Drosophila melanogaster: one gene and its partner. Changing the gene in region 2 together with the main gene of any one other region gives a genetic interaction. Each region holds a gene or a part of one and is shown on either strand. Other genes may lie near its edges.

Region 1 (4,696 bases), on a different chromosome or scaffold from region 2:
AGAGTCCTAATCAACTCAGCATAACTCAGCCAAACTAATGTCTGTGCTATTTACAGGGCGACCATCGCCACCATCGTACCAAAGACGGCGACAGCCACAGAGAGCGGGAGCGGGATCGTGACCGGGAGAGGGAGCGAGATCGCGACAAGGATCGGGACCGTAGGCGTTCGGAGAAGAGCAGTCGCCACCACAGTGGCAAGGAACGCCATCATCATCATCACAACAACTCATCGTCAGCCGCCGCTGCAGCGGTCAGTGCAGCATCAGTCCGTCGATCCCATGATGAACGCAGTCGTCGTCGCCGGGACTCTCGATCCGGTTCCCGCACACCAACGGGCACGCCGCCCTCTCGTCGCCGCCATCAGTCGCAACAGTCACGCAAATATCGCGAACGCGACTCCAGCAGCCGCTCCAGATCTCCGAAGGAAGAACAAGCCACAACACTTCGCGGTGGAGCTGTGGCCGGATCTCATATGCTGCTCGCTAAATCAGGCGGCGGAGCAGGATCAACGGCAACTAATGCAACAGCAGCGGCGAGGGTTGCAGCGGCCGCTCTGGTAGCTGCCAATGCAACAGCCGCAGCCATGGCAGCCGGTTCATCCGGCGGCGGTGGCGGCGGTCTCCTGCCCACGCCCAACTATGCGCCCAAGATACCCTCGCTGATGTCCTTGGAGCTGAGCACACCAGCGGCAGCAGCACCAGTCGCAGAACCCATCCAGCTGCCCAGTTACTACAATCCGAGCATCATCAATGCCAATCGCTATGCGGAGCAGCAGCAGAAGCGCAAGCTACTGTGGGGCTCCAAGAAGAGCGAGAACTCGGCGAACAAGTGGGGCAACGCGCACTTCTCCCAGGACTCCGACGGCAAGGTGGCCTCCAAGTTTATGCGGCTCATGGGTATCAAGAACGCTGGTACGTCCGGCAATGACGATGGCAAGGGCGGCCAGGCGGAGTCCACCAATGGAAGTGCAGCAGGCGAGGGAAACCGCGCAGTAAGAGGTGCTGCGCCATCGGGAGCCGCTGGCGGAACGAAAGTGCCCACGGACGTGCAGCAGCGCCAGCGCATGTTCTCCAACATGGAGCAGCAGTACGAGATGGCGCGAGCCGCCACACACACGATGCGTGGCGTGGGGCTTGGTTTCGGCTCCCAGCCACGTACTTTCTAGAAGGGATCGGAACGGAGGAGGATCGGCTCCCTGCCAGGCTGTAAATACCATGCCACTCACTCAACTCATTAGTCAGTCAATATGTTTCTCCTCAACAACTTTTTGTTTGTGTTGAGAAAATTTTTTGTTTTTTTGATTTCAAATAAACGTTGCAACAGAATTTATGAAGTGACGTGGCTCTCTCTTTGGATTTGCTTGGGATAAATGCGTCGTTAGGTAGACTTTTAGTCTACACTATTACTAAGTATGCTAAGAGTATCCAACTTTAACTACAAAGTTCAGCGGCTCTAATCGAAGAATGCTTGAATATTCAATAATAAATAAAGGTATTTTTTTTTACAATAAACAATTTTAAATTTTGGCACTCTGTTTAGTAGATGTCAGTTTTTTGCCATGCACCTTGGCGGTCGGTCTGCCTATCGCCAATCGATAGCTGACCAAAAACAATAACAATAACAAAATCAGCTGACGATAGGACGTCGGATATCGATACCATATCACAAACTAATAATAAAAATAATAATAAATAAGAGAATTAATACTACTAGAACACAAACAAAAGCATATAAAGCTTACACATCCTTTATTAAAACAAACAGCCAAATTGGATTTAAATTGTGGAACGAAGCAAACAGAACCGCTTGAGTTTGTGCCACTGCCACGCAAAAAAAATTATCGTTTCCAAAAAACTAAGCATACTTCATCCGAAATTAGCAATCAGCTAGCCAAAAGCGGAGTGATCTCGTCGAGAAGAGCCACGCCCCCTATCCGCCCACGCTGCCCAGAAGAGAGCAGCGAAGATGTCGTGGCTGAACAGCAGTCTCAGCCAGCTGAAGGGCCAACTAACCAATCTGGCGCAGGAAGTTCTGGCCGAAACGGCAGGACCCGGCGACTTGGAGTATGAGGGACATCAAGCAGGAGGTGCTAGCGTCCAAGACGCCGAGCAGCAGGCCAAGACAGCCCTGGAACTGCTGGCCGAAACCCAGGAGCAGAAGGAGCAGCTGGACAAGCGGTGCGAGGAGAAGGATCGTGAGGTAAAGCCAACTCACAGTCACTTTTGCGGCTTCTTCACCAATGGCCATCCGATTGCCCCTTTCAGATAGCCGCCCTGCGCCGAGAACTGGCCAAAAGCAAGCAGAAACAGGAATCCCAGCTGGCAGCCAGCACATCAGCTACGCGGGAACCGCAGTTGGTAAGTGACGTTTGATCCGAGGGACCTGCAGCTGGCCCCCATGTGGCCATGCCACATCCGGTGCCCACTCCGTCTTCCAGGAAACATTGCACTCCGGCGTGGAGTGGTGTTTGACCGGCTTTATCTTTCAAATAAGCGATAAGCCCAGCTCTCGCGCTCTCTGTTTCGCTTTTGGCCACATATCCCTGAATTAATATTTAAACTGCGATAAGCTAGGAGTCGGCACTACCCTAGTTTTATCTGCACTTCTCGCGTTTACCTGATGCCACATTGTATGCTTCACACGGAGAGAAAAATGGTTGCAGTGGCATATTGTTGTTTTCCGTGGCACGATTACAAAGCGCTAGAATTCACCGATTTCTGTTTTGCCAACAATTAAAGGGGGGTTTAAAATAAGCCAAGTTCTCGATTGCAAAGAATGTACTAATAGTATGGCAGGGTAAGCCATATTTCATTAGAGCGTCTTGAGCTTTCGGATTAGCAATCTAATGCTAAAAACGGTTTTATATTAACTTTCTCCTGGATAAATTTGAATTTGAATTTAAACTGATTTTTCATTTGACATCCATTCACCTTTTTCCCCGTGCAACTTCTATTTGATTTCACATTCGGTGGTGTTTGGTGTCTGCTATTTGCCTGGCTGTCATAAATCCCTGGTCTCCTTTTCGATCACCCCATATGCCTGTTAGCCTTATCTAGGCGTGCTGCTAACCCTATCGCTCCATAGCCCTCCGTTCGCCAACTGCTTGTTCAATTTACCGAATTATTTCTGATTAGGCAAGTTACTGCAGCGCAACCCCAAGTGTCTGATATTCCCGTTGAAAATGCAGGGTGACGGGGTTGCATTTGGAGCCATTTGGTTTGGTCACTGGGGCGATGGAGATCTTTCTGAAGCACAACTGTACCAGATTTTCCATAGTCACCTTAAATATAAAAAATATGGCTTTTCACATTGTAGATCTAGTTTTAAAATACTAAATGACATGCATATATAACCATAGCGTTAGATGTTATATTTTTTTCGAAATGATTGAATTACTCTTTGGCAATTTTATTAGAATCGTAGATACTTTATTTAATTCTTAAAATAATGAACCATTGTATTATGATCTAAAGTTCAAATCGATCGCATTGCCAGTAGGTAAAAAATTAGAAATCCCAAAGACTTTACAATATGGATTACGAGTATACTTTCAAACTGCCTGCTTTTTGAAATTTACGGTTCTTTTAATATAATATAAAGTTTTGTAGTTTTTTGTTCATTAAAAATGCTTTTAAAATTGATTGTTTAAAAAACATCAAAATATTTTAATCAATTTATAATCAAATACAATATGATATATATTTATGTTAATTTAACGTGCCATTATGATTTGCCAGATTTTTATTTGCTCTAAATCCGGTTTTGGTTGCAGCTTAAATTGGCAAATTGATCTTTCTAGTTTCGGCCATCATTACTCATGTTTTATATTTGTTTCTGATTAGCTAATCGATTGTGTAAAAATGAGTTCCTATCAAACATGCGAAGCATAAATTATGAGGGAAAATTGCATCATTTAGTACGAATATTCAGAGATAAACCATAAATACTCATTCCTTATCGGAGCTGGCGAAATCTGAACAGTAAGCAGTTGGAAAATCGATACGGATATCTGATACATATATATAATTCTTTCATGTAAGCGATTTTGATCTATTCTTTTAATTTAATGTCGATAGATGAATGGTTGCTCTAGTCAGCTAATTCAAATCTTGATCTTCTTGAGTAAGATATGACTTAATCGGCTCAAACTTTCATCATTTCATCATTTGATTTCTATATATGTGGATATATGTTTTCCCAGATTTTTCCTTCTGGGCTATCTCGCATGTACTATCTAAAGATAGCCATATCTTTTGGATCGATAGTTGGGTCACCATATTGTTTTGCATAATTGCGCCAGGCGACCGGCGATAAGTGTGCCCTCGTCCCCATCTCCATCCCCATTCCCATTCCCATTCCCATTTTCATTCACATCCCTCATGGCCCACCTCCACTGCCACTACCAACTCCTACTCCTCCTTCGTGAATATGGCAATCTGCTCCTGCCAACCATTATCATCCCCATTAGGCGGGCATTTGGGACATCTGCATGGCACCATGCTCGGGTTATCTTATCCGGGCCAAGCTGGCCAGGATCGAGGGGGTTGGTTGGCTGGATTGCCTGGATCCGGGGGCCTATAAAAGCCCGGTTCACCTGCTGGCTGGCATTCATTCGGTTCCGTGTGATCGATTCACGTAGGCCCGCATAAAGTGTTAATTTCTACTCAGTTTCTTTCTCATTCGGTGGGCACAGTT
Region 2 (3,820 bases):
GCGAGCACACAACCGAACGCTTGCGTCGTCGGCGGCGGAATGAAGAAAACTGAATTATTTTCCACGAGCTGTTTTTGCGAAAAATCGCTCGCTCACTTGATGAGGGGCGCCTAATCGGAGAAGCAGAGCAACTGTTCTCTGCGGTAAACAAAAATTCACCTAGGCAACGCTCAGACAAGCGATGCGTCAAGGGTTTCCCATCAGCCAGGCTGATGATGCAGCTGCTCCAGGTCCAGTTCCTCGCGCAATCACATGATCCCGGGCGGGATTTTGTGTTCAAATTGAATGCTCTTCTAATTGATCAATTCCCAGAATTAGAAACTGAAGCATTCGGCGGTCCACTGCGCAATACCATCAATTGGTGGTTAGTCGGTGGCGATGACTTCCACCGCCTGCAAGTGGCCATATCCGCCGCAGCCACCAAAGCGAACTGTTCCAGTGCTCAATAGCCTGACCCCAACTTGACTCATCCGGCGAATTGTTCGCCGCTCCTGGCGCCGGCGCTTCCTCTTTTCATATTGCGATCAAAGGCCCGTCGAGTGGTTTCGGGTATATGTATGTGTTTGTATATTTTGACTGGACTCCGGCGAGGAGCAAAGGCCACGTGCATTGTGTTAGATGAGATGTATAAATGTAAAACTTACTCGTTAGTGGAAGATTCAATTCGATTAATTTAAATAACTACTAGCTAACCAATGGACACCATCACATTTTCAGAGGAGCAGCGTCGAGCGACATGGGCAGCACAGGTTCCGGCTGGTCGATGATCAGCTTCAGATTCTTGTCGGGCCACTCGAGCTCCAGTCGCTCCTTGGGCTCGCATTTCTCGTCTAGGCCCGCGCTGCGGAAGTCTTCCATCAGGCGCGGCACCAGTTCATCGGGAATCAGGACCTGAATCCAGTAGCCCAGCACGCCGTACGGTTCGTTCACTGTCACCGCCGAGCCGGTGACGGATTCCGCCACCAAAGTGAGCGCCAGATGCTGAGCCTTGAAGGTGAAGTGGCGCCCATGTCGGATGCGATCCTTGATGGCCAGTAGGAGGTACTTGGCCACACCAGGTGCGAGGGTAATCTCAATACCGTCCAGTGAAATGCAGTTTGGTGCCTGCGCTTGAAAGTCCAGGGGACAGGACTTGTGCAGCGAATTGCTGCTCATCGACATGGATTGTGGAAAGCTTGGTTCCTCGCGTTTCATTTGCGTATCCGTCAGCTGCCGATTGTTTTCGTCGTTGGCGCACTTCTCGCTCAGCGCCTGGAAATCCACCTCCTCCTTCACCTCCTTGGTAGGTTTCAGCTCACGGAACGTAAAATCTGCATTAACGCCGGCCAGATCGGAACCCTGCTTCTCCAGATCGTCCTGTAGGTTTAGCAGCGTTTCGGGAAACAGTTCGAAGACGCTCATCTGGCGATCCATGTTAGTCACCAGCCAATCACCGCCAGTTTGCATATCTTGGCGAAGGAAGTTGAGCACACCGCGCCCGTTCCAACGCGATGCCTGCTCAAGTTCGTCGTCAAAGACGCCGACGATCTGGCAGAAGTCCACCGTGCCCGTGGGAGTGTCGATGCAGCCCAACTGCGGGTCCTGGGCGACGAGCAGGTTCTGTAGCTTGGAAGTGGTACTGCCATCCAGACTCTTGCGCCACGGGATGTTGTCTCCGAAGCACAACCCGTTGCCTGTTTGAAAACAATAGCGTCCGATGGCCTGCAACAGGTTCGCCGGCCAGGTGGGCGGTCTTTGGGGCTTTTCCGGGTTCTCAATCTGCTGCTTTAGCTCTATTTCTGTTTTGGCCAAGCGAAAGGTCAACTCGAACCCCATGCCAGACCGAGTGACGCCCTCCTCGCGCAAGTGGACTCGCTCGTCCCCGTGTAGGTCGCTGAGTCCGAAACTAATGTAGTGCCAGTGCGGCGGAACGTTCCTATCCACATCTCCGGGATAGTTGTACATGCTAATGTAGTCCAACGGATCCTGACCGCCCAGCCAGTACTTGAGCAGTGTGGTCACCTGCAGCGGGTTCGGCTGGTTGGGGTACACCTGCCCGAGGTGGTCTATGATGGCCTTAAGGCCCGGCGGAGGCTTCACCTCAGGTTTTTTGTCCAAATTCGCCTCGGCCATTTCATCCAGTTTGATCAGTATGACCTCAGTTGGAACGTTGCGGAATACCACCGCTTGAATATACCATGAATAAAAATACTGCCATGTAAAGTGCGGATTTGACAATGGAAACTTACATGAGTTTCTTTTAAAACCATTATTTATTTTTAAAACCTTTTTTATAATAATTATTACTTTCTTACTTTTTTCTGCTTATTTTTAAAATGTAGAGAAAAACAGTGAAAATATATATCCATATAGCTTTAAACCACCACCATGTAAAATATTGAGTATTTCTTGCCGTGGTATATTTTTACATGCTGTTTATTTCTGCCAACCACCTACGGTCACCCTGTTGACCAACTATTTAATAGAAAATTTGCAAATTTTGATAAACGCACAAAATGGAGCCTTATGATGTCGTCGTCAACCAGCCCGTCGTCATAGATAACGTAAGTGGAGATGGGGCTCATTAAATGCGGGTAGCTTTGTGCAAATCTAGGGTTCCCAAAGTTTTAGCCAGCAAACAGTGACATCACCTACCGCCCGTCCCTTTGTCAACGAGCTTTCAAGCCGTCTTCAAATGGCCAACATGACTAATCCCAGAGAGAATAGCTCCGCAAACGCCAGAGATGGTTCAATTCGGAAGTGAAGACAGCGAAAACGGGGAATTTGGTCTATAAAGCTTGCGTGGAATCCCTTTATCTGCCCAGCACACGCACACACGGATATCTGCGGGCGGTGGCTGCATCCCTGCTGTTGCGTCCCTGCATCTGGAAGCCTCTGTCGAAGTCCATTTGGTGCCCGTACTCCATTGGGTAAACCACGGGAATAGACTCCACATGGGAGGCAGCGGGTCGCTTTAAGCGCTCCAGTTCGGGATCTATCTTCACACCACACTTGCCCCTGTATGTGCTGAACATCTTGGGGCGCAGCAGCTTGTTGTAGGGATCGCGGAATTGATCTCGGTACTTCTGGCACTCCAAATAGAAGGAGTCCACCTTGTACAAGCTGCCGTAGCTGATGTTGGTCAGTCCAACTGGCGGTGCGAACTTTAGTAGCGATTCCCGTTCGTATTGCGAATTCTTTGACACGGTCATCATGTCCACTTCCGGCACACTAAAGGATTCCATGTTGACTATATAGATTTCCTGTTTGCACGTTGAATTTTAAATAAAATAAGCTGACGCAACTAACTAAATGTATTCCACATCACTTTTGACAGGGCTCCGGTGTGATCAAAGCCGGCTTTGCTGGTGAGCACATTCCAAAATGCAGGTTTCCCAATTAGTAAGTGCCGTGGACCACTCACGAACCTTAAGAACCCCTAGAACTAATGCCTTCTCCTGCAGCATTGGCCGGCCCAAGCATGTCCGAGTGATGGCTGGTGCGCTGGAGGGCGACATATTCGTTGGACCCAAGGCGGAGGAGCACCGTGGCCTGCTTAGCATCCGGTACCCCATGGAGCACGGCATTGTCACCGACTGGAATGACATGGAGCGGATATGGAGCTACATTTACAGCAAAGTAATTTGTCCATAAATGTTCCATAATCTTAACTAAATGTTTTAAATGGCATTGACCAGGAACAACTGGCCACCTTCACGGAGGATCATCCCGTGCTGCTGACCGAGGCCCCGCTTAATCCGCGCCGAAACCGCGAAAAGGCAGCCGAGTTCTTCTTTGAAGGCATCAATGCACCTGCGCTCTTTGTGTCCATGCAGGCGGT

What was found. Genes that interact genetically often act in the same process or in processes that back each other up.
Region 1: of Su(fu) (region 2) and Gmap, changing one enhances a phenotype caused by changing the other (phenotypic enhancement), as found in Drosophila melanogaster (one study listed by BioGRID).

The regions. Positions count from the first base shown.
Region 1 is NC_004354.4:15,485,276-15,489,971, forward strand, and holds the start of Gmap (golgi microtubule-associated protein), read left to right. Parts: upstream 1-1,646; 5' UTR 1,647-1,966; coding exon 1,967-2,200; intron 2,201-2,265; coding exon 2,266-2,358; intron 2,359-4,605; exon of another isoform or gene 4,606-4,696. Other genes in the region: CG6340 (uncharacterized protein), read left to right, coding at 57-1,166.
Region 2 is NT_033777.3:12,689,327-12,693,146, forward strand, and holds Su(fu) (suppressor of fused), read right to left. Parts: upstream 2,143-3,820; 5' UTR 2,113-2,142; coding exon 706-2,112; 3' UTR 547-705; downstream 1-546. Other genes in the region: Arp1 (Actin-related protein 1), read left to right, coding at 2,496-2,543, 3,317-3,381, 3,444-3,618, 3,678-3,820; CG31347 (uncharacterized protein), read right to left, coding at 2,793-3,224.